Linked DNA regions of Elephas maximus indicus. The protein of the gene in region 3 interacts with the protein of the main gene of each other region in a pairwise test. Links are inferred from orthologs where the notes say so. Each region holds a gene or a part of one and is shown on either strand. Other genes may lie near its edges. The genes, in order: RIN1, TNIP3, LZTS2 and C3H1orf109.

What was found.
Region 1: the proteins of LZTS2 (region 3) and RIN1 interact in binary tests that used the Homo sapiens proteins (3 or more experiments, as listed by UniProt). The two-hybrid records come from large-scale screens. The link is inferred for Elephas maximus indicus from reciprocal best matches to the Homo sapiens genes LZTS2 and RIN1.
Region 2: the proteins of LZTS2 (region 3) and TNIP3 interact in binary tests that used the Homo sapiens proteins (3 or more experiments, as listed by UniProt). The two-hybrid records come from large-scale screens. The link is inferred for Elephas maximus indicus from reciprocal best matches to the Homo sapiens genes LZTS2 and TNIP3.
Region 4: the proteins of LZTS2 (region 3) and C3H1orf109 interact in binary tests that used the Homo sapiens proteins (3 or more experiments, as listed by UniProt). The two-hybrid records come from large-scale screens. The link is inferred for Elephas maximus indicus from reciprocal best matches to the Homo sapiens genes LZTS2 and AIRIM.

What each region holds. Positions count from the first base shown.
Region 1 is NC_064825.1:129,480,489-129,487,803, forward strand, and holds the start of RIN1 (ras and Rab interactor 1), read right to left. Parts: upstream 3,015-7,315; 5' UTR 2,933-3,014; coding exon 2,847-2,932; intron 2,718-2,846; coding exon 2,537-2,717; intron 2,445-2,536; coding exon 2,330-2,444; intron 2,243-2,329; coding exon 2,170-2,242; intron 2,064-2,169; coding exon 1,972-2,063; intron 1,876-1,971; coding exon 1,138-1,875; intron 841-1,137; coding exon 535-840; intron 331-534; coding exon 199-330; intron 30-198; coding exon 1-29. Other genes in the region: BRMS1 (breast cancer metastasis-suppressor 1), read right to left, coding at 4,468-4,475, 4,861-4,900, 5,257-5,321, 6,661-6,753. UniProt on the Homo sapiens protein: Ras effector protein, which may serve as an inhibitory modulator of neuronal plasticity in aversive memory formation. Can affect Ras signaling at different levels. First, by competing with RAF1 protein for binding to activated Ras.
Region 2 is NC_064823.1:26,174,117-26,181,065, reverse strand, and holds the start of TNIP3 (TNFAIP3-interacting protein 3), read right to left. Parts: upstream 3,001-6,949; 5' UTR 2,976-3,000; coding exon 2,973-2,975; intron 1-2,972. UniProt on the Homo sapiens protein: Binds to zinc finger protein TNFAIP3 and inhibits NF-kappa-B activation induced by tumor necrosis factor, Toll-like receptor 4 (TLR4), interleukin-1 and 12-O-tetradecanoylphorbol-13-acetate.
Region 3 is NC_064834.1:52,643,630-52,650,840, reverse strand, and holds the start of LZTS2 (leucine zipper putative tumor suppressor 2), read right to left. Parts: upstream 3,011-7,211; 5' UTR 2,536-3,010; intron 1-2,535. Other genes in the region: TWNK (twinkle mtDNA helicase), read right to left, coding at 5,952-6,242, 7,168-7,211. UniProt on the Homo sapiens protein: Negative regulator of katanin-mediated microtubule severing and release from the centrosome. Required for central spindle formation and the completion of cytokinesis.
Region 4 is NC_064821.1:79,284,631-79,292,576, reverse strand, and holds the start of C3H1orf109 (ribosome biogenesis protein C1orf109 homolog), read left to right. Parts: upstream 1-4,938; 5' UTR 4,939-5,204; exon of another isoform or gene 5,205-5,366; 5' UTR 5,367-5,369; coding exon 5,370-5,644; intron 5,645-7,946. Other genes in the region: CDCA8 (borealin), read right to left, coding at 1,574-1,614, 4,057-4,185, 4,325-4,421. UniProt on the Homo sapiens protein: Part of the 55LCC heterohexameric ATPase complex which is chromatin-associated and promotes replisome proteostasis to maintain replication fork progression and genome stability.

The DNA.
Region 1 (7,315 bases), on a different chromosome or scaffold from region 3:
GGCCGAGAGGCTGGTCAGGTAGTAGCCACCTGGGACACAAGGGAAAGAGGGTGGCTCAGTCTAGGGGTGGGTAACCTACTGTTTCTCCTCCTTCCCTGCTTAACTGGCCCAGGTAGAAGCCAAGGTTCAGGCCCCACCCAGACAGGGAGGTCCTGTGTTGGGAAGGGAGAGGGCGGGTGGGGGTAAGGAGTCCCTTACCCTCTCCAGTGAGCAGGGTGGGCTCCAGCAGCTCTGACATGTACTCGGCCTCAAGCAGCAGGTCCGGAAGGTCACATTGGGCCAGGACCAGGCTCAGCAGTGGCAGGAACTCGTCAGCACCTGTGTCCTCCCCTTTGGGAACATGGTGGGGGGTGGCTTCAGGCTCCTCTGGGGTCCCAGAGTCAGGGCCCATTGCTAGCCTTAGAAGTGACACTCCCCCATCTGCTATAAGCTCAGGGTGATCCCTATGGTTACAACGTGGAGGGGCTGGGGAGAGGGTGCTCTACTCCCTGGGCCTCAGCTTCCCCATCTGTGAGGCAGGAGGAAGGGGCGCACCCGTGTGGGTCCTCAGGGCCGTGTAGAGCAGCTTGCAGGCCTGCAGAAGCCGCTTGACCTGGGCGCTGGGTGAGTAGGCGCGGAGCAGCTGCAACAACTTCTGGCGTACCTGCTCCACCTCTACGGGGGAGGGTAGGCCCAGGCAGGTCCCAAAGGCACTGGGGCCCTGGGCCCGGGCCAGGCGGAGGCCCTCGGCCAGGCGGCCCAGGGAGCCGTCGGCAGAGAGCCTGCGCCGCAGGCGGGCGGCCAAGATGGGCCGAAGAGGCTTGAGCACGGAGCGGTGCAGTGACTTCTCCAGCACGTGCTCTGCAGAGAAGACACGCCAGGGGTCAGGGAGTCAGGACCAGGATGGGGCAGCATCCGGGGAGAAGGGCAGAACCAGGGAGGGAGAGGGATGGAAAGGAGGAGGAATCTTGGTGAGCCTGGAGAGTGGGGGAGAGGTGGGGATGGAATTCGCTAGAACGGTGGAAAGGCAAAGTGGACACGTATGGCAGAGACCAGAACCAGGAGGCAGGAGGAAATAGTGGGGAGGAGAGCCGAAGGAGGGGAGAACTGGGATTCTGGAGAGCTGGGGTGAGACTGGGCTTTCTAGTGGGGCCTCACCCAGCCTCTCGAGCGGCAGCAGCTTCTCGGGACCCAGCTCGGCGCTCAGCATGGCCCGGGCCCGGCTCAGTGCCTCTCGGACGCCCTGCAGCTCCCGGGGCTCCGGCCCAGCCCGCACCTGCGTCAGCAGGTCTTGCACCAGCTGGCCCACTGCTGTGTGGCGGTCCCGCATCAGCGACGTGGCCACCCGGCCCACCTGTCGCTCGGGCGCCAGCAGCGAGCAGAAGGCAGCACTCATGGAGCGGAGCAGGGGCCGCCGGCGACCCAGGCTGGGGGAGGTCGCTGGGCTCCCGTGGGCCCCCGGCGGTGCCTCCTCCTCCGAGCTGCTGGGGGAGCCGCAGTCCACCTCCTGGAGGGAGGGCAGCGGAGGGAGGCTGGGGCCGGTGCCCCCCGGCACACGGTAGCCCACTGAACTCTCCCTCCGAAGCAGCTGGCATGGGGGCAGCCTGTCTGGTTGGCTGGGGGCGGCCCCTGGCAGCACCGGGACTGGGGGAGGTGGTACAGCTGGTGGAGACAGGGGGCTGGAGGTCTCTGTGGACACGCGCACTTTGAAGCTCATTTTGAATTTCTCCCGCTTGGTGGGGCCCAGGTCCCCTGGGAATAGGGGGTTGAAGAAGCACAGGGCAGCGCCAGTGCCCTGGTCCAGCTCTTGAGGGGACCGGGGCTTCAGCCGGGGTAGCACCGGGCCGTCCCCGAAGCCCTGTTGAGCTTTGGTATTGAGGGTGGAGCTCCAGAACTCTGCGGAAGAGACTCCAAGTCAAGACCCAACCGTGGGAGAGGACCGCACCGCTTCAGTGTGTCCGTAAGTGCGATAGCTGGCAGAGGCGCCCTTACCAATGCCCAGATGGGAAATGGCCTCCAGCTCCTTGTGGGTGGCTGCCTGGTGGATGGCTCTGGGGAGCTGGAGCGGGAAGAGAAGGATGTCCCTGGGGCCGGAGAGGGGAGCAGAAAGTCAGGAGTGAAGGGTTCTGGTGTCTACAGGGGCAGACCTGCAGAGCTCCTCCGACACCAGGCACCTGTGGGCAGACTCACCGGGCATGGCAGTAGGCGCAGATGAGATGGACCAGGTCTGGGAACACGAGCTCTGAGCCCTCCAAGGAGACGCCTGAGAGATGGGAAGTGAGGGAGGTGTTCTCCGGGAAACCGCCCCACCGGCTGCTCCCAGCCCCTTCCCGCCTGCCAGCCGTCTCACCCCCGGGGCGCTCCAGGATGTAGTGGCTAGAAACGAAGGACGGGCCGCTGGCCTCAGGCAGCCGTACACACAGGGCTTGGCACTGGCGCGTGTTGGACTTCCGCACGAGAAACGTCTGCGGGGGACAGGAGTTGACAGCACAGGACCTCCAGCTCGGTCCCCCGCAACCCTCGGCTGGACAGCCTCAGGGGGCGGGGCAGCGCTCACCCCCGGGGGCTCGGTCCTCAGCACGTGCAGGGCGGCCGCGGCGTTGGCCCGCAGCTGCAGCCACACTGGCCGGGTGAGCAGCAGGCGCTCCCGAAGGCTCACTGTGCGTCCGGGCCTCGGCGGTCCGCCCGTCTGTCCTCCACTGGCGGCGGGGACGTCGTAGAGCGGGTCCGGGCCTGGCCTGGGGGCGGGCACACTGAGCCGGGCGGGCGGTGGGACGCTCGCCCAGCCTGCACCCTCCCGCCCTCGGCCTGGGCTGACCTTCCTCACCCTCCCTCCACCCACCTGCGGCCCTGCCAACTTCACTAACTTTTCTCCCTCCAGGTGCGCAGGAGCTCGGCCGGCTGGGCTGGGGGCTCCGAGGGGGTCTGCTCCCGGCTCCCCAGGGGCTTCCATGGCTGGGCGCTCAGCCGGCTGCACCCGCCGGGACGCAGGAAGGGAAGCCAGCCCCCAAGGCACAGGCACTCACATTCCCGGTGGTGAGTAACACTTCCTGAAGGCGGTGCGCCCTGGCACACCCCGCCCGTTAACTCTTGTGTGTCCACTCTGTCAGGGCCGTGCCGCCTCCTCTGTTCTGGGCCCACCCTCAGGGGGCTGGGACCCCCTCCGTGCTACTGCCACTCTGAGGGCCCCAGCAGTGGGGGTGCCACCTCCTCACAGAGATTCCCGAAGCCTCGCTGGCTCCCTCAAACTACACACTTGGGCGGGAAGGGGTTAAGAGGCGCGTCTAGGTCCCTACGGGCCCCAGACAGCCCTTGAGGAACCTTTAAGTCTGTGGTCAGTTGCTCATCTTTCCCTGGCCTTGAGGTCAGACTAGTGGCAGAGTGCCCCCTACTGGTAACATGACTCACGTCTGAATCTAACCTGGGCTTTGGAATTTCAGGTTGCCATGGAGAAAGGATGCTGTGTCTCCATGGCAACTAGCCCCTTTGCTTAACTGAGGTTCTGGGGGTGGTTCTAGCACTCGGCGCTAAACAGGGGGGAGTCTGGCTGTGAGGTCGTCAGCACATGGCGCTGCTGCCGGCTGCCTCCCCCGCACAGGTCCTGCCAATCTGCCAAGCGACTGGGGCAGGTGCAGACATGACCATCTCCAAGCACAGAGCACCCTGCCCCCTTCCCCACCCGAGGTCACATGCTCTGCCTGTGCGGCCACACGTTGCTCAGACTCCCGGCAGCACCAGTAGCCCAGGGCCCAGCCCCCACCTCCAGGGGGGCGGTGTATGGAAGAGCACCCCGTCCCCAGGCTGTACCCCAGGTCGGAGTGGCGGGCTCCCGTGGGCCAGGGAGAGGTGGTGTCATACCCCAGGGCCACCAAGAGAGTCTGCCTGTCTCAGGTGCTCCCACAGAAGCCCCAATTCCCCCCAGGTAAATTAGACACACACAGGCCACACCAGAATCCCAGGAAAGGTTTAATTCCAGTCCCCACCATCTGGGGGGCAGACACGAAGAGACACCCTGAGAAAACCTGGGGAGCCTGGCTTCTCATCTCCACCTCCTGCCAGGACAGAGCCCCTCAAATATAATTTATGGCTCTGAATCCCTAGGCAGTGGAGCCCAGCTCAGGGCTGTTGATCAGGGCCCAAGGTCAGCAGGAAGATGCCGTTTGGCTTAAATGAGGCATGTTTTCTTTGTTGGGGAGGACGGAGGAGGGTGGTCTTTGGGAGGGGGCGGCGGGCTGGCTAGGGAGAGAGAGAGAGTCTGGTCTGTGCAGGTCAGCCCCAGGCCCACAGTGGTGGCCACCCCGGTGGAGGGCAGAGAAAGAACTGAGGCAGGTGGTGCTGGATGGGGAGCCCGGCCACAGCCCTGTAGAGCCCACGGGCCGCCAGGCAGATCTGAGGGGCCTGTCGGTCCACCTTTCTGCAGCAGGAAAACGTGAGTCTTGGGTTTGGTGCCAGCCGCTCCGAGGGACCCGTTGGCTGGGAACAGCAAGGTCAGGGTCCTGGACGGTGCACAGAAAGGGGAAAAACACTGAGGTGAGAAGAGGGGTGCCCCTCCACATGCAGGTCACCTCACCACAGCTCTCATCCCAGTACTCCAGGCCCACCAGGGCTGCTGCACCCCCCTGCCCACCGCCACCACCAGCCCCAGCTGGGTGCACTCTCCAATCTCTAGCATTCCTTAGCTCCATCAACCCAGAGTTCCCCACCGCCCACCTTGTTTCCTGCTAACAAAACTCCCACAGAACCTCCAAAGCCTAGGTGGTTCTCGTGGCCTCAGACTGTGACATGACCGTGCCTCTCTCTGGCCTCTTTCCTGGATGCTGAACTGAGGGAGGTGACAGTGGGGATGGGGTGGGAGGCAGTCTGAGGATCTGAGGGTCTTACCATCTGATTTTCTCTTCTGAGGGGACACAGCTGCTCTAGCCTGGGTAGGTGAGAAGAAAAGCCTTCCTGAAAGTCTGCCCCCAGCCTGGCAAGATGCCCCCCCTAACCACCACCCGACATCAGCCCATTTGGGGATGGGGGCTGCACTGAGGCAGGTGGAGGAGGGTGGAGGCGGCAGCAAAAGACCTTTGTAAGCCAAGTTCTGATGGGGTCTGTTGTCAGAGACAGCCAGCTCTGCTGCCTTCCAACCTTCCCTCTCCCTCCCTCCCTTCCCAACTGCATCGAAACCTGGGCAAGGAAGGGGCCGGCATACTAACAGTGCTCCCTTCTAAGGCAGCCCATATCCCACAGGAATGTAGGGAAGCTGGGGTGGGGAAGGGGCAGCCCAGGGCCCACCTTTTTGATTGCTGTCCAGTCCTCCAGGATGTCGATCTCCTGAAGCATGTACACGATGTATGGGCCTGCACCCGTGTCAAGGAAGCAGGACGCCCAGGGCAGGGGCAGGTGACATGCGGCAGGCCAAGCCCACTGAGTTCAAGACCGACCCAACGGCCAGGGAGGGGGTGCAGGGACAGTGTGGGGTCAGGGGTTGAGAATCTGGGTTAGAGCTCAGGCTCCACCCCTACGAGAGCGCCTGGCTGGCTGGCAGCAAGGCAGCTCATTCCTACTTCACCAAGGACAGGGAGGGGGCAGCCCACCCCTGCAGCCCCATGGCTCACTCTCTCCTCCTCTCCTCAGGCGAGATCTGCTGTCCCAGGTGCACCCCCACCTCCAGGACTTGCTCCTTCTCCTCCCCGCTCCCGCCTTCATTACCTGTTCCCTCTCCTGGCCCTCTCCCCCATCTCAAAACAGACTCCGGCCTCTTCCATCCTGAAGACAAGTATCCTCTGCCCCCCCCCCACCCAGGACCATCCACTCTCCCTCCTGCACTCTGCACTGATGTCTCCATGCCCTCACCTCCACTCACTCAATTCCTACCTGCCTGCACCTCAGCTCCGCCACAAGGTGACCTGAGGAGCTGGTTCTTCCAGGAATGCCCTGGTGGAACCTGGGAATTCAACTCGGGGGCTGGGACATACCAAGGGGATCCCCAGGGTGGTGACTCGGCCAGCCCTGGACTAGAGGGGCTCATGGCAGAGCCCAATTCTACCATATGGGATGTGGTCACCCCAGAAGGGAGGCCACAGGTGTGCAGAGAGAAAAGCCATGGCCACTAGAGTAGAACAGGAGAGGCTTCATGGAGGAGGCAACACATGAGATGAGCAATGAGAAGGTGGAGAAAGCTAGAAAGAGGGGGTGGAACCCTGGGAAAGGCACAGTGGTGGGGAAGCCTGGGCCCAGCTTGGGGATGAGTGAGTGGCTGGGGAGACATCGTGGGAAACCCAGACGGGGACCAAAGGCCAAACTCACTCAGGAAGTCCTGGGGAGTCAAGACTGACGTTTCTCTTTCTCTACAGTCCACAGGGCCCAGGAGACCCCAAAATCCAAACTCAATTCTGACTCATAGCGACCGTATACGACAGAGTAGAACTGCCCCACAGGGTTTCCAAAGAGCGCCCGGTGGATTCAAACTGCCAACCTTTTGGTTAGCAGCCACAGCTCTTAACCACTTCCCCACCACGGTTTCCCCGGGAGACCTGGGACGCCACAATAAATCTCTGACAGCTGAGTTTGCCTGGACATGATCACATGACACCAAACGACCATGAACGTGTTGGTCCTCTGTCCTCCGTGTCCCCGGGTCTGGAGCTGGCCCTGGCTGCCCCCCCCAGCTTCAGGCCCCCGTGGCTGGAAGGATACCGGAGACAAGCGGTGCCTTCTTCCTCTTGCTGGGTGGCAGGGAGTCCCAGGTCCTGGAGCTGCCTCTGGCGTGCAGTTTCTCATCCCACCACTCTGTGCCCCAGAGGCAGGGTCAGGGTGCCAGCCCTCAAGGGTGCCCCCCACCCTCACTGCCTTTGTCCTCCCCTCCCCTGGGGCAAAGAACTCTGGGCTGAGCTGGGAAGCCTGAGTTCAGGTCCGGACTGCACAGCTGTGCACCATGGGAAAGGGCACTGCACTGCTGTGAGCCCCAGGTGCTTCCTTTGTTCAGCAGATGGGGGAGGGTGATGGGGGGGATGACAGGGTGATGATAACAGCTGCTGCCTCCTGAGGACTCCACAGTAGCCTCTTGGCAGAGCAACTGACATGAAGAAGGAACATAGGTGCTGTGGACACGGAGCGGACTGTGGTGACCATATGTGGGCGTACCGGCCCGCACCTCCCGTTCTGGGGAGAGAGCAGGGACAGGAGGGCATGGGGCCCACTCTGCCCAACCCCTCACTGCATGCCTGGCCCTGGGCTGGGCCCTTCCATGCCTGCTCTCAGTCAGTCCTCTTGGCGACCTCAAGGAGCAGGGCCAATGACTGCACCCATGTGCAGTCAGGGCAGCTACGTGCAGAGGAGTGCTGGGCACTGG
Region 2 (6,949 bases), on a different chromosome or scaffold from region 3:
CTTCAAAGCTATTTTATGCTGCTTAACACTATGTTACAGAATATGTCCTTTCCTCTCACAGAATTTATACACGTCAGATTAGCAACAGCATAAAATGATTAATTTTCATTACTTACCACAGTAATCTATTAACTGTCCTGCTGGGGCTGTTTCTCTGTCATATAAGGTTTTTTTTTTTTTACATTTTTAGATCAATCAAGGTATATATTTGTTGGGATTGTGCTTTTCAACCACTAGAATAACTTTCGCCCATACGTTGTTTTTATTTTAAAACCATGGGGATAATTAATCTTGGCAGTGCTTTCAAATAAAATTGATTTTTATCTCATGTTACGGGAATTTCAGTAGAAAAACATTTTTATCCTAGTCTCCTTCTTAAAGGCCTTGCTTGCTGGAAGCAAAGAGGGCTTGAAGCACTCACTGATGAAGATCAGAGACCATAGCCTTCAGTATGGATTACACCACAACATAAAGAAAATAAAAATCCCCACAAATGGACTACTATTAATAAGCAATATCATGATAAATGGAGAAAAGATTGAAGTTGTCAAGGATTTCATTGTACTTGGATTCACAATCAAAAGCCATGAAAGCAGCAGTCGAGAAATCAAATGAAGTATTGCATTGGGCAAATCTGCTGCAAAAGAACTCTTTAAAGCAAAGATGTCATTTTGAAGACCAAGGTGTGCCTGACCCAAGCCATAGTATTTCCAGTTGCCTTATCTGTATGTGAAAGGTGGACAGTGAATAAGGAAGACTGAAGAAGAATTGATGCCTTTGAAATATAGGGTTGGTGAAAAATATTAAATATAACATGGACTGCCAAAAGAATGAATAAATCTGTCTTGGAAGACGTACAGTGAGAATGCTCCTTAGAAGCGAGGATGGTGAGACTTTGTCTCAAGTACTTTGTACATGGTATCAGGCAGGACCATTCCCTAGAGAAGGACATTATCCTTGGTAAAGCAGAAGGTCAGCAAAACAGAGGAAGACCCTCAACGAGTTGGGTTGACACAACGGCTACAACAATGGGCTCAAACATAGCAACGACTGTGAGGATGGTATCGGACCAGACAGTGTCTCGTCCTGTTGTACACAGGGTCACTATGAGCTGGAACTGACTTGACAGCACCTAACAACAACAACAATCTTCTTCAAGACATGAGGCCACCATGTGAGTAAAGGGCATTTCTTTTATTCATAGTCCTTCATCCTTCATGAAGCAAATATTTGAAAGATCCAAACTGTCACCACTCCAAACAGATGGGAGGACAATTGTGACTGAAAGATATTCCTCTAAAAATTCTCCTTTATCTAATATTAATGAGAAAGCAATGTTTAGGAATTAATAATTAATGAGCTAAAGCGTAAAGTGCTAAAGAGCAATTTTTAGAAGTTAACTGTCAAAGAGATGTCTGTGGTTTTATCCTAAGCAGGAAGTATTTTATTGACAAAAAGCTTAATAAGCAGCTTTGCCCCTCTCACCATTCCTCACCTCCTCCTCCATTCTTCTCCATAAAGAAGCCTAACACCAGAGAAGAAGGGAGTTTTCAAGGAGTCAGGGTACAGAATTAGATCATTGATCAAGCATCTGGGATTGTTAACTATATCATTCCACAGGTTCCTTTGGCACTGGTATGTTTCAGGTTCCTTTAAGAGGAGGAATTGAATTTAACACTCACTTATTATTTTTCCCTTATTAATGCCTCATTTATCTCATGAAAACTGGGAAATAATATAGTGGATGCAAATTTCAATGAAAAAGTTCAATAGAAAACCAGTGATATACTAATGAAAATAAATACATTGTGGAGTGAGAAAGCAGGAGCAAGCTGAGGGGGGAGAGAGCAATACAGAATGAGAGTGAGAGAGAGAATAAAAAGGAAAGAAAAAGATAAAAATACAAGAGGTTATCTTTCTCCTCTTTCCCTAATTTCCTGGACTATAGTACTTCAAAAATACATTATAATTCTGATTTTTAAAAAATTTCCTGAAAAAACTCAGGGGGACATGTCTGAAAATAGTTTGTTAACATTAGCATTGATCCCTTCCACAAATACTTGCTTATTACCCATAGGATTAAAGCTCTGTGCAGTCCTTACACTGGAGGGACAGGTCAGTAGATGCCATGTCATTTAAATGAGTACTCTCAGAACTTCTACAACAGGGCGGTACCAGAGATTCCCAAGAATTAAGTATCTCAGCATTTCACAGCAGGAAAGTTTGTGACTAAGCCAGAAACTTCATGCTGCAAGATTAATGAAACATTGTCTCTATGCCCAGAGGCATAGGTCTACCTTTGTTCAACGCTGGTTTTTCAAAGTAAACCTTCTCGGAAGACAATTTGATTGGTTACACTTAAATTATACTTAAGCAAGTTTATTTTCCAATCTCCTTTGGAAATTTTTACTATTTGAATAAGCAGCCCAGTGACTTTCTATTTAGAAATACATTCTTTTAGAATTTTCTATGCTTCTCATCACCCTGATTATAGAATACAGCAATGAAGAGTACAGCAAACACACTGTCTGGACACTTGTCGTAATCACTGCTTAATCAAGATTAACCTCCGTAGTATACTAAGAGAGCAAACATAGTAACATTACTCATAGAAGAGCTTAAACTTCGTTATTCTTTACAGAATTTCCAGAAATAACAAGGTAAATAGGATCACATTTATATAGTTAACTGCGACATTTCCAAGGCTTATTTTATCTGAACTGGACAAAAGGGCGAACTGGTAAAAGCTATACACATTTGAAAGGAAAACACACTTGCAACACGTCCTATCTATCTCCCACCTGGAACCCATGAAGCCATATCTGAATTGCTAACATTACCAAACTCAAAACCAGTCACAAAGGCCATTTTAATACGAGCGCTTTAGGCCTTTTAAAAAGAAATTAAGTTACAGAGAACTTTTGTTAAGTAAGCAAAATGAAAGTAAAGGCAGGAGGCACCGTGTTACTCACCATACTCTATACTGAAAGTCCCTCTCAGATCTAGGTGAGTGTACTACAAGGCCTAATGAAGACACGGAGAGGTCGTCTTTATGACTCTTTGAATCAAACAGTAACTCAGTGGTTTAAGTAGAAACATATATTTTGAAAGGTTAATCCACCCATACACAGGGAAACCCCTTTTTTAAGAAAGTCATTCTGCTGCCAAGAGGCTATTAATATTCATTTCTCGGATACAAATACAACCTCCAGATAAAAGATTCACCATCTATGTGAAAAATACCACAGAGGATTCCCTCTTCGTCTTTATGCTGTAATGGAAACACAAGAAAACAATATACCTCTTCAGGCAACCGGGGGTACTACAGGAAATCCACCTGCCCACTTAATGGAAAAGTTCTATCAGCTTAATAGGGCCACAACACATAAACATAAATGTAGAATTAGTATAATTTACTGTAAGGACCATAGGTCACACACTCATTTCTAGGAATGTTCCTCTGTTTCATCTTCCTATTTCTTTCCCTGAGAGCCCTAGCACCCAGGTTAACATTTAAGCAGTCAACCTTTAAAGTAATTTAGAAATATGCCCACTACCTTTTAAAAACAGAAGTTGCTGAGTGTTTTTTCTTACTTAGAGGGGAAATTATATTTATAGTCTTTATGTTGTGTCACTGACATTACAGGATTATGAATTATGTATCTTTTTCTCATCACACTAGAAAACAGTTCTGTGTAATCATTTACAGTGGCCAACCTCTCCAAAGTCATAAAGAACTTTGTACCAGCTTGGGAATGAAATGTTGGCTGACAAGCACTCTGATAGTTCTTGGCTCTCTGTCTCATTGGCTTCTATTGAAGTATTCATTTTTCGGTGCGGCCTGGAGAGATTAAGTAAATGGCCGATAGCATGTTGGCAATATGCTTGGGAGACAGAATGTGCTAGAGTTGGACTGTATGAGGTGCTTCAGCCTCATCGCAAGAGATATTGTTACTTCAGAAAAATAGATCGGCAGATCTATAAACACGGTTGAGAAAGTCAATGAACCACAAAGGGAACTGAATGTTATCATTTTTATGACAAAATGTTATCAATATTAACCTGGGGTGGTGAGCTCATGACTGTTTGTTACATTTTTCTCTACACTTTTCTGTATTTTCAAAAGAAATGCAGTCCGTAATACCATGTAGCTTGCACGCGCAATCACTCTAGAGAGAATGACAAAAAAAAGAAAACCTAAACAGGACCTGGGAAGGAGTCAATCTCTTGTTAACCTTAGTGATTAAACACCTTTGATATGTAAATGTCCTTGTTTTAAGAACTCCTAAAGTATTCTGAATGTCTTTTAAAAAGTCCTCTGAATTAACACAAAATGACATTTACTCTCTGTAAGAAAACTAATTAATGAGTGTTTCACAAAAGTATGCCATTTTAGTGTGATACCCAAAGAGCAAGGAGAAATTCATCAACATACCAACAGCAAAAAGGTTAAAAGCTAAGCCATTCTAACAGACTGGAATTTCTAGATTTAATTAATGCCTACCTTTTCTGAAAGTATTTTCGAAATTACAGAGTGCTCTATAAGTTCATGGCATGATTATTAAAACCTTGAAGGACTACCACAGTGTGTCTAAGGACCATCTGGTCTCAGGCCGTGTGCCTCTTTGATGATCATATATCGTAAAGGATACCGAGAAAGCACCAACACAGGCTTCCAGAGTTCAATGATTCAAGCAGGAAGGTTATTTCCATTAAAAACCATGGCATGGTGAGGCTAGTCAATGGAAAATGAAACAAGACATCATTTTTATTTTCCTCCTGGACGTGTTGGTGGTGATAGTGGGATGGTGGGAAGGGGTCTATAAAACACAGGCCAGAACTTGTTGTTGCTACCTTCCACCATCCTATCTGTGAAATGGAAACAAGCTCTTCTACAGAATGGTATGGTACAGCAAATGCAGAAATGGTTCATAAAGCGCTGTACTGCTCCTTGTATACACTCAAGCCACTTAAGATCAACTGCGTGCAGAAGCTGGCCATCTGCCTACCAAACGATTTTTATTATTCACAAAAGAGCATTTTGTTTTAGTGATTTACCTTCAGGGAAAAAATAAGGAAATGAGTTCAAGAAAATTTAATAAAACTTGAAGACTAGTGCCTGAAGTGATTGATCCAAAATTAGTTTCACATGGCTTGAGGGTACAAGTGCCTGAGGGAACGGGGGAAAAAAAGGGGTGGGGGGGAGAAAATGAGACTGTTCGAGTAAAACAAGCTCATTTAGAGTTGAGTTTGAGAAGAAGAAAACAGTCATGTTCCAGTTTTCTTCCTTTATCCAGCAAGAAGAATATTAAAGAGTCTAAGTGAGGCAGTTTTCAAGCTTTGGGCTTGGGAAAGGGCAAACCCAACCTGTCGCCAAAGATGAGCTGAACGCATCACTCAGTACTAAGGCTCCCCCGGACCTCAGCGTGAGCCTGGTGCGCAGGCTGTCCGCGGGCGTCCTCAGGAAGACAGGCAAAGTGCTTCCACATGCTTGTGTTTGGGAACTAGTCCAGGCACCCTCTGCTCCCTCCCTCAGGCTCCTTTCCCTCTCAGCTTCCCAACATCCCAGATTCCAAATCATGGATAAGAAATGGAGGGTGAGTAGGGACAGTAAATACCATTAGTACAGTTGAAGAATTTACTCTCAAAGGCTTTACCCCATAAGGTTTTTCGAAGAAGTGTAGTAAAGTTCATTTGGCAATGTTTGTCCCATTTGAGAGCCATTTCCTCAGGAGTTATTCAAATTTGATTTTGCCTGTTGGGTGAGAGCTTTCTGTAGATTAGGGACATTTGATGGCCCTCCGGAGTCCTTCCAGAGGGAGGCCCTGGCCTCCTGCCAAACTCTGGTCCTTGTTTTTTGATGAGAGATTCAAACTGGAGAGTCTATTCCCATTGCTTCAGAACATCACCTGTAATATTTAACGGATGGAGGTGGTTGTGCCAGGAGCCTCAGCTGGACCGGATTCAACCTAAAAGGTTAGTTAGCATTGCAGGCTTGTGCTCCCTGCTTCCTAGCCCCATTAATTAGGAATAAGCCTTCGTGTTAAGTTTGGGTTTTCTACTTCATAACATATAATGCCATTTTTTTGCTGTCAGATCCAAAATCCCCATAATGACAAGGAGTAATATTTAGTTGGTTTCATTATTTGATAATTGGATGAAAATAGACATAGAAAAGAGGCCATTTGTCATTGTTTTGTGAAAAGAACACCTCTTCATAAGACTTTGGAAATAGTTATGCTCATGATGGTTAGATTTTTGATTTATTTCTCCATTCCTTTTTTGTCAATAGAACTATCATTTTAAGGAACTCAGTTGTTCTGTGCATTTTTGCTGACTTCCTTTTTACTCTCTCCCCATTATTGTGTGTGCTTTTTTTTTTTTTTTTAACTCTAGTGTGGATAACAAAGAGCTAAACAGCACATAAAGTATTAAAATATCAGATCTCTGCTTTTTCAAATAAGGACTGGAATGAATTTTTGTTCAGCAAAATTCTGCCAAAAGGAGGATATGTCAGGCAAACAATTAGGACAGGAGATGGGGCATAGATCTCCTTTCTGGGGAGGATGAATCACTGATGTAGATAAATCAGAAATACAGCTGTTTGGGACCTAATTCCAGTTATCACGGCAAACCAGGCCCAAAAGATCTGGCAATCTTTAAAAGGCAATCCCAGGTGCTGACAGGTTAGAGAAGTCACAGGAGAATTCTTTGACACTCAACCCCTTTGACTTTTACCCTTAACGCACTGTATTCCTTCCTGTTTTCAATACACATGAAGATATTTTCTCATCCAAATTCAGGACCCATACCTGTTTTCAACATTAAATGTGCCTTTGATCATTTCTGTCTTTCAGGAATTACCACCCAAAGAGCATGAATGTCGAAATTAGGCATTTTGACCAAGTGCTCTAAGACCAACCTTGAATCATTTGCATACATCCTCCAT
Region 3 (7,211 bases):
CCCCGCCCCCGGGCGCGGACACGCGCAAGAACCTTCACGTCACGCGTGTCCGGCGCACGCGGGACCTGCACGGCGGGAGCCAGGCTCTCTCCCACCGAGGACTAGTGTCTGTGGGCTCGGGGGCTCAGGACTCGGCGGCAGCGGGTCACCCTCTCCCCCTCAACCAGGGCCCCGGGCCCGGCGGCAGCTGGTCATTGTTTGAGCACAAAGGGCCCGGCGCGGCGGCGGCTGCCCCTCCCCCTCCGCTTCGCTAGTCGGAGCCTCTCCCCAAGACACACTCTCCAGCTTTAGAGTCCATACGGGGAGGCCTAGGGTCAGATGCCCCCTTCCCGGTCTGCCGGGGTCCTGCACCCCAGCACAAGTCTGGGGGCGAGGCTCGGCCGGTGCCTGCCCCACCCGCAGTGGGTCGCCGGCGGCACACTTGGATTTGCGGAGGCGGCGCCACCTGGCGTCCAGTTTGGAGAAGACACCCAGCCACACATTCCCTCCCTTCCCTTCATGGGAGTCCCTATCCCACTCCCCACTCCTCGCGAGCCTAGGTCTGTCCCTGGCACGGCTCCATTCTCCTCAAGCTTCCTTCGGAACTCTTTGCAAAGACGCTTGGACAGAGGCGGCCCCTGGCCCCCCAACAATCACTGGGGTGAACCGGTCCAAACCTACAGTCCAAACCTACACCAGCCTCACGGCAAACAACATTCTACTCCCTTTCCCAGGGTCACAAAAATCCTCAGCCTCTCGCAAACAAACAGTCTTCTTAACACCTACACGGTCTTCCCCACATTCAGTCTCACACATCCACAATCTCACACGGTCTCATCCATCGCATGGTCCCATGTTCCTTCTTCTCATATCTTTGAGGCCAATTCACGCAGATGCACACTGTCACACGCCTTGTTTTGCAGTCTTTCACATCCAGTCAAAATCTTAAATAAATACACTTAGTCTCCTAACGATCTTTCAGACATTGACAGTCTTATTCACAGTTGCTCACAGACAACTTTTTACACATACACATTATGTTTTACAAACATATTCCTCCACACAGATTTTCCCTCAAGGGTCTCTATGACCTGGTCAGGTCAGCTGATGCTGGCACCCCTGGGCAAGGACGGCCTCCCTGTCCCCCAGGGCCAAGGCCTGCCAGAGCTCGGCTCCGCCCCAGGAAAGAGCATCCCCCCTTCCAGGCCACAGCCCTGGCCGGCTCTCAGCTCTATTTTTAGCTCTATGGAAAGGGTTGTTTTTCTTTTTCCCTGGAAAGGGAATCACAGCCCAGCTACCCTCAGGCTCATCCCAGACCCTTTGCCTCACAAGAACAGCCTGAGGCCCCCTCCCCAGAAGAGACCCCCTTGTCTGGCCTTTTCCTGATCCCAGCCTCCAGGGACACCAAGTGCCTCCACCCCTTCCCGGCAGTCTGCCCAGAAGCTCAAGCAGCAGCTGGGCTCAGCATGTGTGTAGGGGGGCGGCGTGGGGGCGGAGAGGGAGACAGAGGACCGCTGCCCACCACCCTCGGGGAGAGCTTGGACTCCTTTCTGCTAGAGGGGGTAGGCCCAGTCGGTATGAAGGGCTGTTTATACTCATGCGCTCTCTGGCGGGGGTGGGGGGGCTTCCACTCTTGCATGGGTGGGATTTCTGTTCCTCCATTCGGGGGAGGAACTCCCAGTCTTGTCAGAGGGGATGGGGTGGTAGGAAGGGGATCCACAGACACTCAAGCAGCTGCTCCCTGGGATGGGAGTACCGGGCGGTAGGGGGCAGCTGTCCATTGCTACCAAGGAGAGTACCCCCTCATACCTTCAGGGATGGGAACACTACGAATATGTTCAGGGGAGGAAGGGCGAGGAGCCCAGTTAATCCCACCCCCGCCCAACAGTCTCCAATTCGGTGCCACCCCGGCTCTAGGGGGCGTTGTGCTCCCATTTCTGGGGGAGGGCTTATCACCGCTCGAAGGTCGAGGCGTAGAATGGAATACTGCCCATTGTGGAACCGTGTAAGCTCGCCCGGGCCTGGGGAGGGGGTCCCTGCAAGTGGCAGGAGTCGGGGGAGTACAGCCACAAGGCTATGGCACAATCACGTGCTCGGCGCCTGTTTACGTCTCAGTCTTCACCTGGCTGCGGTGGGGAAGCTGGAACCTCCCGATGCGTCCCACCCGGTCCGCCCCCGTCGGCGCTCACCGGGCTGCCCCTCTCCCCCGCCCCTACCAAGTACGCGACAGGAGAGTGCCCTGCCCGGGGGGGGGGGTCCTCGCGGGCCGGTGGCGCTGTCCCTGAGACTGCAAGGGTAACCCACTGGGCACCTCCTTTTCTGAATGCACGTGTGTTCGTGTCCCACGTGCGTGCGTGTCTCTGTAGCACGCGTGTGAGCCCCTCAGTGCAAGTTTCTGTCTCGCCTCCTTGTGCAGAGTTCCTTGCCTGTCCCCCATGGAGTGGGGACCTCCCTCTTCACCCCAGCCCTCAGCTTTCCGGGACGGGGAAAGTTCGCTCCGGAGCAGGAATGTGCTGGAGGCGGGAGTTCCTACACCTCCGCAGTCCCGCCACTCACCCAGCACCACCTGCACCGCGCTCCAGCTCCAGTCCGGTGCCTGCTCCAGCGGGGGAACCTCTGCGCGGCAGATCTGCCGGCTTCCAAGCCCGCTCAGGGCTCCGGGAGCCCGCCTGGCCCGGCCTGGTGAAGCGGGGCGGGGCGGCTGAGGCCGCGCCCCCGACCCAGGGAGGGGAGTGGTCTGCCCGGCACCCCCTCAAGAGCCAACCCAGTACCCAGCAGAAGCTGGACAGTGGCCCGAGGCTGCTCCTCTGGCCTCTGACTTCACCAGCTTCCTGAACTTGGCTTTCAACCTAGGGAAGGGGCGAGCAGCACGTGACCGAGAGCTAAGCTACTGGCCGCCTAACTAAGCTGGCTATAGGGCTTGACGGGGCCACCTTCCCTGCTCCATAGGGAGCCCAATCTGGTCCACTCCCAGCCCACTTCCCAAACAGGGAAAATCCCTGGGGAACAGACAAAGAAGTCTCGGGTTTCACCAAAACAGCCCTCCCCCCACTTCATCTTGGGGCTGCCCAAGCAGAACCAGCGCCACCCTCTTGACTGGAGTAGGTGTCAGCCCAGGTGAGGAGGCCTGCCAGTTCTGGCTCCCATGGGGCATGGCCAAGCTTCCCTTAGACTCATAAAGTCCCACCCACATGCACAAACAGGAAGTTGGCCTGTATTGCAGGGAGGCACCCAGGACTTCCTCCCCCCATGGCACCCAAAGCAGCCTGTGTCTGCAGGTATCTGGGCCATATTTGCAGCCTGAGTACTTGAGCTGTAGGAGACTCCAGTGAGTTTCCTATTTTCTCAAACCCATCCACAGTAGTCGGGAAGCTGCTGGAAGGCCAAAGCTGCCCCCTCACCCTGGAGACCCTTCCTCTCATCAAGTATGAGGCACAGTGTCAATCTGAGGACAGGACCTCACTTGACCAGGTTCTCTCTGAGCTCTCAGGGAGATTCTTACATCTAGCTGGAGGGAGGCAGAGCTGGTTCTATCCCAGGTAATGTCCACTTTGGCTGGGTACGTGGACAGCGGGCCTCCAGGGACCTTAAATAGGGCCCGGGGGTCTCCACTGCTTTCTACACTCCAGGAGCTCCTGTATCTACTTAGGGCCATATCTTGATATGGGGAGTTTAAGGCAGGTGTGGAGTGGAAGATGTTTGGGTAGGGGGTGGGGCTAGCAGTATTTATCTTCCCCTCCCCCTCATCATTCTGGTTTCTGCTGCGTGGGGGTGTCTGCTAGGAGGGTGAGGCAAGACAAACAGGCAAGTATGTATCCATCCCTGTATCCCCAATTCCCACAAAAACCTCAGAGGTTCCCAGGAGGGAACCTCTGAGGATTTCCTGAGAACAAATCCGGCTTCTAAGAGACCAGAATGTCAAGCCCACGTCCTCATAGGCAGGACTGACCTGGTGTTCTGAGTCTGGAAGGCATGGCTGACATCCAATGTTATAGATCCTGGATGAGGCCTAGACCAGCCAGCGGCTGGGAATGATTACTGCGGGATTAGGGAGGCCTGGCTCCAGCCAGTCTGGGAGACAGACACCCCCCCACCCCCTCAAAGAAAGGAGGCCCTGGAGGAGCTACCCTTTTCCATATTCTGTCCCACAGAGAACAGCTTTGGAGCAGCTTTGCTCCAGGTCTTCCCAGGAGACATTTGTGGTCACTGTTCCCATGCTCTGCAGACCAGACCCCATACCCTTCCACAGGGTCCCAGAAGCACCCCCTTAGGTCGACAGGGAGAACTTGACAAGGCAGCCCTGCTTCCAGGGAGCAGGAAAGCTTTCACCCTACCCTTACAAAGGGCTTCTCCCAGCATCTTCAGAACACCTTATGTTCTCACCACTGTTTCAAAAACGAATAGGCAAATCTAAAGGGAAGCTGGAACTTTAGGATAGCCGGGGAAATGAGGTGGGAAAGTGTCATCATTTAGGTACACTAGTTCTGACAGGGTCTGTGGATTGCCTACTTTACAACCTCCTGCACGGCTTGTTAAAAATGAGGACTCCTGTACCCCTCCCCAAACTCCAGAATTAGAAATGTATGTGTGGCAGGATGGGGGTGGGGAGCAGGGCCTAAGTTCTGCATTTTTAACAGGATCCCCAGGAGTCACGGTATGCACTAACACAAGGGAAACATCAAGAGAGAATATGCTGAGCAGAGCCCACATCGAGGGAGGCCACTGAGTGGCTCACATCAGAGGGACAGCTGGTCAGGCAGGGCCTGGGCATGTGGCCCAGTGATCCACAGCGCTGTCAGGAATCACATGGAGCTCAAGGAAGTTAAGGATAAGGATACCCAGAAGAGGCGGTGGTGGTGGTGCAAGGCAGGGGGGTAGGGGGAATGAACACCCTTCGGTGACCTAGCTCCCTTGGGAACCCTCAGCTCAAATGCTGGAAATGGTGAAGGGACCCATCCATCCCCAGAGTGAAAGGAGAGTCCAGTTATAGACTGGAGACACCTGGTGGACAAATTAAAAAAAGCACAGAAACAAAGGCAGTGGGATTTTTTTTTTTTTTAAGTAAAACTGGAAAAGGCTGTAAAAATTCATGGCTGTATCTACTCCAGAAACACTGCCTACTTGAGGCAGCAAACCCTGGAATCTATGTCCAGGGGGCACACACTCTGGGCTCACAGCTTCCTTCTGTGGCTGCTGCTAAGAAATCCAGGAGGAGGTGATTCCCAATTTTGGGGCCCTGATATTCCAGGGCCAAGCACCTAGGATGCCAATTCTAGCAAATGCCCTCTCGTGACAGGCTCCATAGAGTAGGGAGCAGAGGAACTGGCACCCACCATATCACCCCTTGGATCTGAAAACCTCGGCAGGAGTTTTGACAAGGAACCCCTCATTCCCCTCCAGGTTTAGAGGCATGACCTCGCTGTCTTAAACTTGATCATTCCCACCTCAGGGCCTCTGTACTTAACACTCGGGCTACTGGGATCTCATCTTCCTTCTGATGTTCACGTGGCTTGCTCCTTCTGGTCCGTTAGACCCCCGCTCAAATTTCTCTGCTCAGAATGCCTTTTCCCACCGTTTAAACTAGCCTGCAAGCACTATCACATTACTGCTGTGTTTTTAGCGCTTTTGACTATCTAAAATTATGTTTTCTGCTTATTTGTTCATTGCTTGCCTCATCTCCCCCACCAGAATGCAGGTCCCATGGAAGTGGGGACCACATCTGTCATGCTCATTGCTCTATCCTGAGGACCCAGAACAAAGCCTGGTACAGAGTAGGTTCTCAGATACCTGCTAATTCTCTCATTACGGAACACCACCTAGCCTAGGCCCCTCAGACTGAGAAGGGCCCACAGCTCAGCACCATAGTCAGTGGTCAGAAGCCAGGAGTCTTTGCCCCAACCTGTCCTGTCAGGCTCATTTCAATGTCCAGCTCTGCACTGCCCTCACCATGAAGGCTGGCAGGTGTCTGGCTGCTAGGGGTTGGGGATCTGGTCCAGGCACATCTCAGAGTTCTGAGGCACAGTCCCCTTTTTGCCAGAAGAGGACTTTTTGGCCACTAGTCCATTGTCGTCCTTGATCTTTTTGAGTCGAGTCTTGCTCTTTGGTGGGACGGAGAAGGTGAGGGAGCTCTTGTTGAACTCGAGCGGGAAGACACCTACATCTCCATCAAAGCGGTTCTTGGAGACCTGCAAATACCGTTTCCCTGGCCCAGTTACCAGTTTCCTGTCCTGTAGGATCAGAACGTTGTCTGCTTCCTGGCTTGCCTGGGAGTTGGGGGGCAGAAGGAGGAAGCCGGGCATGAGAAGACATATAAGAGAAGCAGAACGGAAGGCTGGGGGCACGGGGAGAAGTAGCAAGAATGGGAGAAGGGAAAAGTACCTCCCCCATCACCACAACTCTTTCAACTATTGACCATGATGCTGGGGCCACTTGAGTCTTTCATTTCCTTGATAATAAGCTCCTGCTGTCTTCAGACTTTGTGTATGCTGCTCCCTCTGCTTCTAACACTTCTCCACAGCTGGATATCCCATTCAACCCTAGCTTCTTCTCATCATTCCCAGTCTAAAAGTCACACTTCACCAGCGAGACCATTCTTGACCACTCTAAATAAAGGAAGCACCATCTTTCCACTTCCACATTATTCTCTTCCCCAGCTCCTTGTTCCATGATGGCACATAGTTTGTGCTCCTCACCCTGTATTCCCTGTGCCCAGCCCAGACTTGGCATGTAATAAGCACTCATTGTACACCTGAAAGCTTCAGGATCTGGTTGGTCTTGCTGCCCTGAAGTCCCTCCCATTTATTTACCTAACCTATTTTCTGTCAAAACTCAACCCAACCTTTGTTGACATCTCCTCTGGGAAGTCTCCTCAGATGTCCTAGGCTGACTCAGAGCTTTTCTCTTTGCTCCCCAAATACCTGTGCTGCCAATTGCAGCTTTTATCATTCTGAGTTGTAATTACTATCTTGTTTCCTCACTAAAGGAAGACAAAGAGGGCAAAGGACCAACTATTATCAGTCCATGTATTCCTAGCATATATATTCTTCATGTCATGGCCCCAGAGGCAGCTGCCTCCTGCCTCCCCAGAAGGACAGCCAAGGAAATGATTTAAGCCTGAATGAGGGCTGTCCCTGGTCACATCTGCCCGCTTTACTCCCCAAAGCTTGGGCTCCTCCAAAGGCCACTCACTTTGGCTGAGCCAAAAATGGATGCTGTTTGCAGTTCCTTGTCAT
Region 4 (7,946 bases), on a different chromosome or scaffold from region 3:
TGGTCGTAGTTGATCTGTTTTCACTGCTGTGTAATATTCCACAGTGTGGCTATATCCCAACGGATTTTTCCATCCTCCTGTCAATAGTTTTTTGCTATTACAAACACTGCTACCTTGAACCATTTTGTACATGTCTCTGATGCACATGTCCAAGTTCTCTCTGGACTGTATATGTAGGGATAGGGCATTATAGGGTTGCAGGGCATGCAAACATTCAGCCTTGATATTATGCCAAATTGTTTTCTAAAGTGGTTGCACTTATTTACATACTGTTGGCAACCAATACAAGTTTCTAATGATCCGCATCCTCTCCAGCACTTGGTCCTGTGTCAGACTTCATGTTCTTTATGAGTCGAGAGGTCTCCATAACGGTTCTATCACACTCCTGGGTCCTTCAAAGGGCTTTCAGTGGCCATTCTAACTAAACTTGTTCACAGTGGTGGCTACCACCTCTATGTATGGGTATTGCCAGAAGCAGACATCAGAACAGGTGTTAGACTAGGAATGACACAGGTTTTCATCTCTGGCGTGGCAGGGACTACATGCACAGCTCTGAGGATTCTGAGGCCATGTGGGCTTAGCAAGAAACAGTGCTGTAATAGATTGTGATAGTTAAGGGAAGCCATGTGGGCTTAGCAAGAAACAGTGCTGTAATAGATTGTGATTGTTAAGGGAAGCGAGAGAGGTGGTATCCCTGCCAAATTTCTGCTGTCTCTATAAACAACTGACATGCAATGAAGGTATCACTGGTGGCAGGCCACCAATCACTCACAGTGCCTAAATGAGTGAACACAGCAGACCTGAGACCACTATGCTTAGAAAGGTCTGCTTGCAAAGATGGCCCTTGGCTGGCATCTGGGAACTTGAATTTTGGGAGGGTTCTCAACATTCCCTAATGATAACGGGTCATTGTACCCAAACTCTTTGTACAGACAACATGGCTTATCCTGAGCACCTGCTTTCCTTCTAGGAGTCTAGAATTTTGGTACACGCTAGCCAGAGGGTGCCTATGTGACCAGTCCTTGATAAAAACCCTGGTCGTTAAGTCTCTAAAGAGATTCCCTGGTAGAAAGCATTTCACATGTGTTGCTACAACTTGTTATTAGAGAAACTAAATGTGTCCTGTGTGACTCCACTGGGAGAGGACTCTAGAAAGCTTGCACCTGATTTCCTCTAGACTCTGCCACATGTACCTTTTCCCTTTGCTGATTTTACTTTGTGTCATTTCGCTGTAACAGATCATAGCCCTAAGTATGACTATATGCTGAGCCCTGTAAATCCCAATAAATCACCAGACCTGAGGGTAGTCTTGGGACTCCTGACACACCTACCAATTAAGAGCTTCCATACCCAAGTCTCATCCTTCCCCTGGGTTTTAAGACTAGACTTCTCTCAACCTGGTGTAATAACATTGGCTATATTATATCAGAAGCTCTGATTTGTAGTTTTGTGTCACGACATGAGCAGATCATGTTCCCTATGGAACCTCTTCCACAGTAACCACTCACTGGTTGGATTCTGTGACTGGACTAAAGAACTAACCAACAGTTCAAAAACAGGACAGATCACTTACTGTTGCTGCCTCTTCCAGGGCCTGCTTGTTTCCTCCAAGGGCTTTAAAAAGAACATGTTATTTAGTTATTACAGATTTTGACAATAACTCATCTTCCCTACACTATCAGTTATCTGTCTAAAACTGGACCAGATTAAACCCTTGGTCCAACATTCCAGGGCCTTCACAATCTAGTCTTTCTCCAGCCTTGACTCTTACGCATGACCTACTCTATGTTCCACCACACCAAACTTCTCACCTTTCCCCAGATGTGCCCCCGCCTTTCAGGACTAAGTGCCCTAATACTTATTATCTCTGCCTGGAATACTTCTCTGCATTCAATAAACTCCTAATTCATCCTTCAAAACTCTTCTCAAAAGCCACCTCCTCAACAATGGGCCCTGCTATGTATCAAGCATTCCACTCACCACGTCTCAACCCTCACAACCCTTACTCTACAGATAGGGAAACCAAGACCAGAGAGATTAACATGATTGAGTAACTTGAGGAAGATCACACAGCTGGAATATGAAAGAGCTAGAATTTGAACTCAGGTTTGCCTTGACCCCCAAACTGTTTATTTTTCCCTCACAGTAGGTTGCTGCAAAGTACTGAGTTAGTTACTCACCCTCTTCCTACCCTACAACTACTCAGAGCTGTTTAAGTGTCCACCCTTGCCTTCGCTGTGAATTCCTTGAGAATAACAATAATATCCATAGCTTCTGGCAAAAATCTGGCATCTGGTAGTTGGGTAGTAAGTGTTTGTTGAATGAAGAGGTCTTTGAAAGATTCAGATGTAGAATTAAAGTTAGGTGAGGTTCTCACGCTAGAAACTCTCACAGTATTCTGTATAACAGCCAGGAACTGTGGCTTTGGAAACAGAATTTTATCTGGGTTCAAATAGACTTTGCCACTAATTAGCTTATGAGACCTTGAGCAAAGTAACTACCTTCTCTGTGCCTTAATCTTGTCATCTATAAAATAGAGATAATATTGACAATAAGCTTGTTATGGGGATAAAATTAATTAACATATGTAAAGCATACAAAGCACTACATAAATGAGCTTACTGGTGGCTACTCTGCTCTTATAGCACTTATAACTAAGTATAAAATCATGTGTAAAGTTTTTAATCACCCTTCTACACTAACCTGTAAGTTCCTGAGGCACAATGTCTGAATTTGTCAATGCATCTTCAGCACCTAGCATTGTGACTGACAAATGATCAATGAACACTTGTAGAAACGAGCAAATGAATGAATGAATAAATAAAAGGGCAACTTTGAAAAGATTATTCAATGTCTGCTATTGTAACAGAGGAATCCTTGGGTAGTGCAAACAGTTAATGTGCTTGGCTGCTAACCAAAAGGTTGGAAGTTTGAGTTCACCCAAAGGTGCCTTGGAAGAAAGGCCTGGTGATCTAATTCCAAAAAAAACAACAACAACAACTGAAAACTCTACAAAGCACAGTTCTACTCTGACACCTGTGGGGTTACCATGAGTCAGTACTGACTTGATGGCAACTGGCTACTGTAAACAGAACATGCCTTTCTATCCAGGAAGGAGGCTATAGCCTGGGTAACTAATAAAAGAAAGTGGAAAAGTTGGTTAATGCAGCAGAAAGGGTGCCTACCTGCATTTCCTTGAATCTTTAACAAGGTGGCGGGAGAACAGACTAGGATTTTTCTTTCTCTGGCCAGGAAAACTCTTGTATCTTTACACATCACAATTTGATTTGCCCATTTTCAAACAGGCAATTTTTATAAGCTGCAGAAAAAACTCCCTAGGGCTCACCCTTCCATCTGAGCTCTGGTAACAAACCAAGCTGTTCATGCATTCATTTAATAAAGTTTACTGAGTACTTAGTACCTATCAGATACCTTTCTGGCTACAGATAAATTTCCTGCCCTGTCATTGTGCAGCTTACAATCTTGGTTGTGGATAAAAGGATATGTAATCAACAAAATAGGTAAAATATGTATTAGATTAGATCCGGAATCAGCAAACTGTTCCCACCTGCTTTGGTATGGTCTGTGAGCTCAGAACGTTTTTTTTACATTTTTAAGCAGTTGGAAATAGTACCAAAGGAGTATTTCGTGACATGTGAAGTTCAAGTTTTGTGTCCATAAATGAAGTTTTACTGGAATACAGCCATGCCCATTTGTTATAGCTGTTTTGGAGCTATAAGAGCAGAGTTGAGTAGTTATAAGAGAAACCCTCTGACCCGTAAAACCTAAAATATTTACTACCTAGGCCTTTATAGACAAAGTTAGCCTACCCAGCATTACCCAGAAAAAAACCCCAGCATCAGATGATGATAAATGCTATGGAAGAGGATAAACCAAGGAGAGGAGATGGAAGTGGGGCGGCAATTTTCAACAGTGGTCATGGAAGACCTCACTAAAAAGGTGACATCTGAGCAGGTTCCTTCTGAAGGCAGTGTGCAGTCTGTACCACCGAGGGGTCCCAGACCGAGGCCTGCGGGAAACTCTAGCAGCACCTACCGAAGTAGTCGAGCCAGTTCATCTCGCGCAGTGCCTTGGGGAGCCGCAGGATCTCGATGTTGTACAGGTTATCCATCTCCTTGAGGAGGTTCTGCCTGTCTGACTGAATTTGCTTGTATCGGATTTGCACTGTGAAAAGGCAGAGCCGACAGGACGCGGGTCACCCGGCGGATGCATGAGGCTTAGAATCCGTGCTCTCTGCGTCTCAACCCGCCGGGACCCAGCGATGGTTCCAGGTAGGTGCCACGACCCGGGCCCCGCCCCTTACCTTCACGGTCGAAGTCCTTGAGAAAGGAGGCGAGCTTCCGGCTCCGCAACGAATTGGTCTTAGTCGACCGACTGCTGCCCTTCCTAGCCGGAGCCATGGTGCTTCGGTGGAGGCTGTGGGGACGGGGGAGACCGAATGACAAAGGGTCAGGGAGGAAGGGAAACTAAGGAAACCGCAAAGGAATAGGGGAAGGTGGACAAGGACCCAGAAGGGCCAGTAGGGAACTCCCCTCCTTCAGGGTCTGGGCATAAAGAAGGCGCGAGTCACATACCTGCAGGTCCCAAAACAAGAGCGAGGAAAAACCTCTCCGCTCCACCAGCGAGGAAATCTGCTCTGGGGCTAACCGGACATGCGACCGCCGCCACCAAATTCAAACTTAACTGCTCCAGGCTGGCGAATGAGAAGTCGCCGTCTTAAAAAGGTCCCACAACATCCAATCATTAGGAAGCACTACAATCAAGCAGCCAGTCCACACGTAGAACTACAACACCCAGAAGTCATTGCGGCTGAATGACGTATTTCCTCAGCGCAGGGGCCGCCTTGGCCTGAGGTTGCGCTTTACGAGCGGGTGGGCGGGGTGGGGACGAGGAATCGCTTTTGGGCATGCGCACAGAGATCCGCGTGTCATCGATGTTTCGTTGCGGTGACGGTAAATTTGACCTCTGATTTAGGGAAAGCGGTGAGCAGCCTCAAGAAGCAGAGACAGGATTCCGGCTCCAGTAGCACGAGTCTGGAGAGCGAGACAGAGCCTCGGCCCCGGGAATCCGCAGTCTGAAATAGGAGACCGCCCTATCCCTGGAGAAACCTCCTCTGAGGAACAGTCGGAAACGCTTCCTGAGGTGGGCCACAGGGGGCTTCCTTCAGAGAGCCGCTTCCGGAGGTAAGACGACACCTCGCGACAGGAACTCCTGCCTGAAGGAATGGACAGCCTTACCTGAGGAAGCGGGCTTGAGGGCGGAGGCTGAGAACGTGTCCTGACACGAGGACGGACGTAACTCCCGACCGACCTGGGACCTAACGCTGCTTCTGTTGGTTTGCACAGACGATGACTCAGGACCGGCCTTTGCTTGCGGTGCGGGAGGCCCTGCGGCAGTGCTTCCCCGCGGTGGAGGAGCAGCAGGGCCTGTGGCGGAGCACGCTGAGCGACTGCCAGCCCCTCGTGGCCTCCCTCAGCAACCTGGCCGAGCAGCTGCAGGCGGCCCGGAACGTGCGGTTTGACGACGTGCCGCCACTTCGCGCCTTCCCAGACCTAGAGGAGCAGCTGAGGCGCAAGCAGCTGGCTGCCGGTGACACCGTCCTGGACAAGCTAGGGGAGAGGCTGTAAGGAGCTCGGTAGATTTTAAAACTGGGTGTTTCATAAGAGATGAATCTGTTAGAAGGATGACTCTGTCAGAAGGGTGTTTTTCTCTTGCGAGCACGGCACTTGGAGGTGTCTCAGCCTTCCCCCCTTTCCCTCTGTTGCAGTGGGACCTCTGTCAAAAAGCCATTTTCTGATATTTCTCGGCAGAGGCTAGGCCTGACAGTGGTGAGCTTAGTAGAGGTACAAAATCTGAACAGAAAAAGAGCGGAGGAAGCTTGTTAGCACTTTGTATTTTCCTTTCTTTCTTTTTTTATTCGGTAAAAAGCTTGTTGTGTGCCATCGAGTTGATTTTGCCTCCTAGTGAGCCCATGTGACAGAGTAGGACTGCCCCATAGGGTTTTCTAGGCTGTAATCTTTATAGGAGCAGATCACCAGAAGCAGATCACCAGGTCTTATCACCAGGTCTTTCTCCTGTAGAGCTGCTGGGTGGATTTGAACTGCCAGCTTTCGATTAGCAAATGAGCGATACCTGTTGCACCACCAGGGCTTCTTATGGGAAAAAGCTACAAAGAGCTGTATTCTAAACTTAGTAGGTGTCAGAGCTAAGGGTTTTACATACATTACCTCATAAAACCTTTTTAACACCTCTGTGGCTTAACCTCAGTCAATCCCATTTGGTAAGTGCAGAAACTGAGGCTCAAGCAAATTGCCCATAGTCACAACTAGTAAACGGAAAAGCTGGGATTCTAATCCCAGTCTGCCTGACCCCAAGGCCAGAGCCTTCAGCCACCACTTTGTTCTGCTATGCACTGGTCTCTCTGTGCCCAGGAGTAGCATGTCTCCAAGTTCTGATCTATGCTAATTGTTAGACCTTCTGTCTCAGAGTTACAGACTGTTGAGGACAGGAGAAACAAGGCACATGTGGCCATTCCTTGAAGGTTCCAGTGTACAGAGTTTATGCCGTGGACTAATAGGAAACCATCAAATTGGGGACCATCATTTGTTCAAAGTACACATATCGAGCACCTATGGGATGCCAGGCATAAGGTGCTGGGAACATATCAATGAACCAGACTCAATTCTAGTTTCTAGGAGTTCTCAGCCCAGTAGAACAGATAGACAATCAGTCGATTAAATTATGGTATGTCCTAAGATAGTGGGGAAACCCTGGTGGTGTAGTGGTTAAGTACTACGGCTGCTAACCAAAGGGTTGGCGGTTCAAATCCACCAGGAGCTCCTTGGAAACTCTATGGGGCAGTTCTGCAGGGTCGCTATGAGTCAGTATCAACTCGATGGCACTGGGTTTTGTTTGGGTTTAAGATAGTGGTAAGTACTGGGAGTTACAGAAGCATAGAGGTACATGTTTAACCCAAACTGTGAGGAGAGGAGGAGCTTCTGGGAGGAAGTGATGCCCGAGACCTGAAGGATGAGTGGGTGTTAATGGATCAGGACGTGGATATGGGTATTGTTGCAAAGACAATGGCTGGCATAGAAGGGGCGGTAAGAGATGAGAGGTAAACCAGCTCATGAAGGTATGTGTAAGCTGTCGAGGACCATATGGTTCTAGATATTTCTTTTGCTTCTGGATTGAGGGTACTTTGATGAGGGGTAAGGGCAGAAATCCCCAGGAACCTCTTGCTTGGTCATAGACACATCTCTATATGGGTCAGCTCCTTAATCAGTAGTAGCTGTTAAAGAGCTCCCTGGGAATCAGAATTATTCGTAATAGCCAAAAAGTAAAAACAACCCCCAAAATGTTCATCAGCTGATAAATGGATAAACAAAATGTGATATACCCATATAATGGAATATTATTCAGCAAATAAAAAGAAACAAAATGCTGATACTTGCTACGATACGTATGAACCTTTAAAACGATATGCTAAGGGAACGAAGCCAGACACAAAAGGCCACATTATTGTATGATTCCATTTTTGTGAAATGTTCGGAATAGGCAAATCCATTGAGACAGACAGTAGATCAGTGATTGCTAAGGGTTGGACGAAGGAGTAGTGGAGAGTGACTTCTAATGGGTATGGGGTTTCTTTTTGGGGTGATGAAAATGTTCTAAGATAGAGGCGATGTGTGCACAACTCTGAATATACTAAAAACCATAGAAATTTACATTTTAAAAGGGTAAATCTTATGGTATGTGAATTTTATTTCAATTCTTTTTATTTTGTTGTTGAGAATATACACAGTAAAACATATACCACTTAAACCATTTCTACATGTACAATTCAGTGACATTAATTACATTCTTTGAATTGTACAACCATCCTCACCCTCCTTTTCTGAGTTATTCCTCCCCATTATTAACAT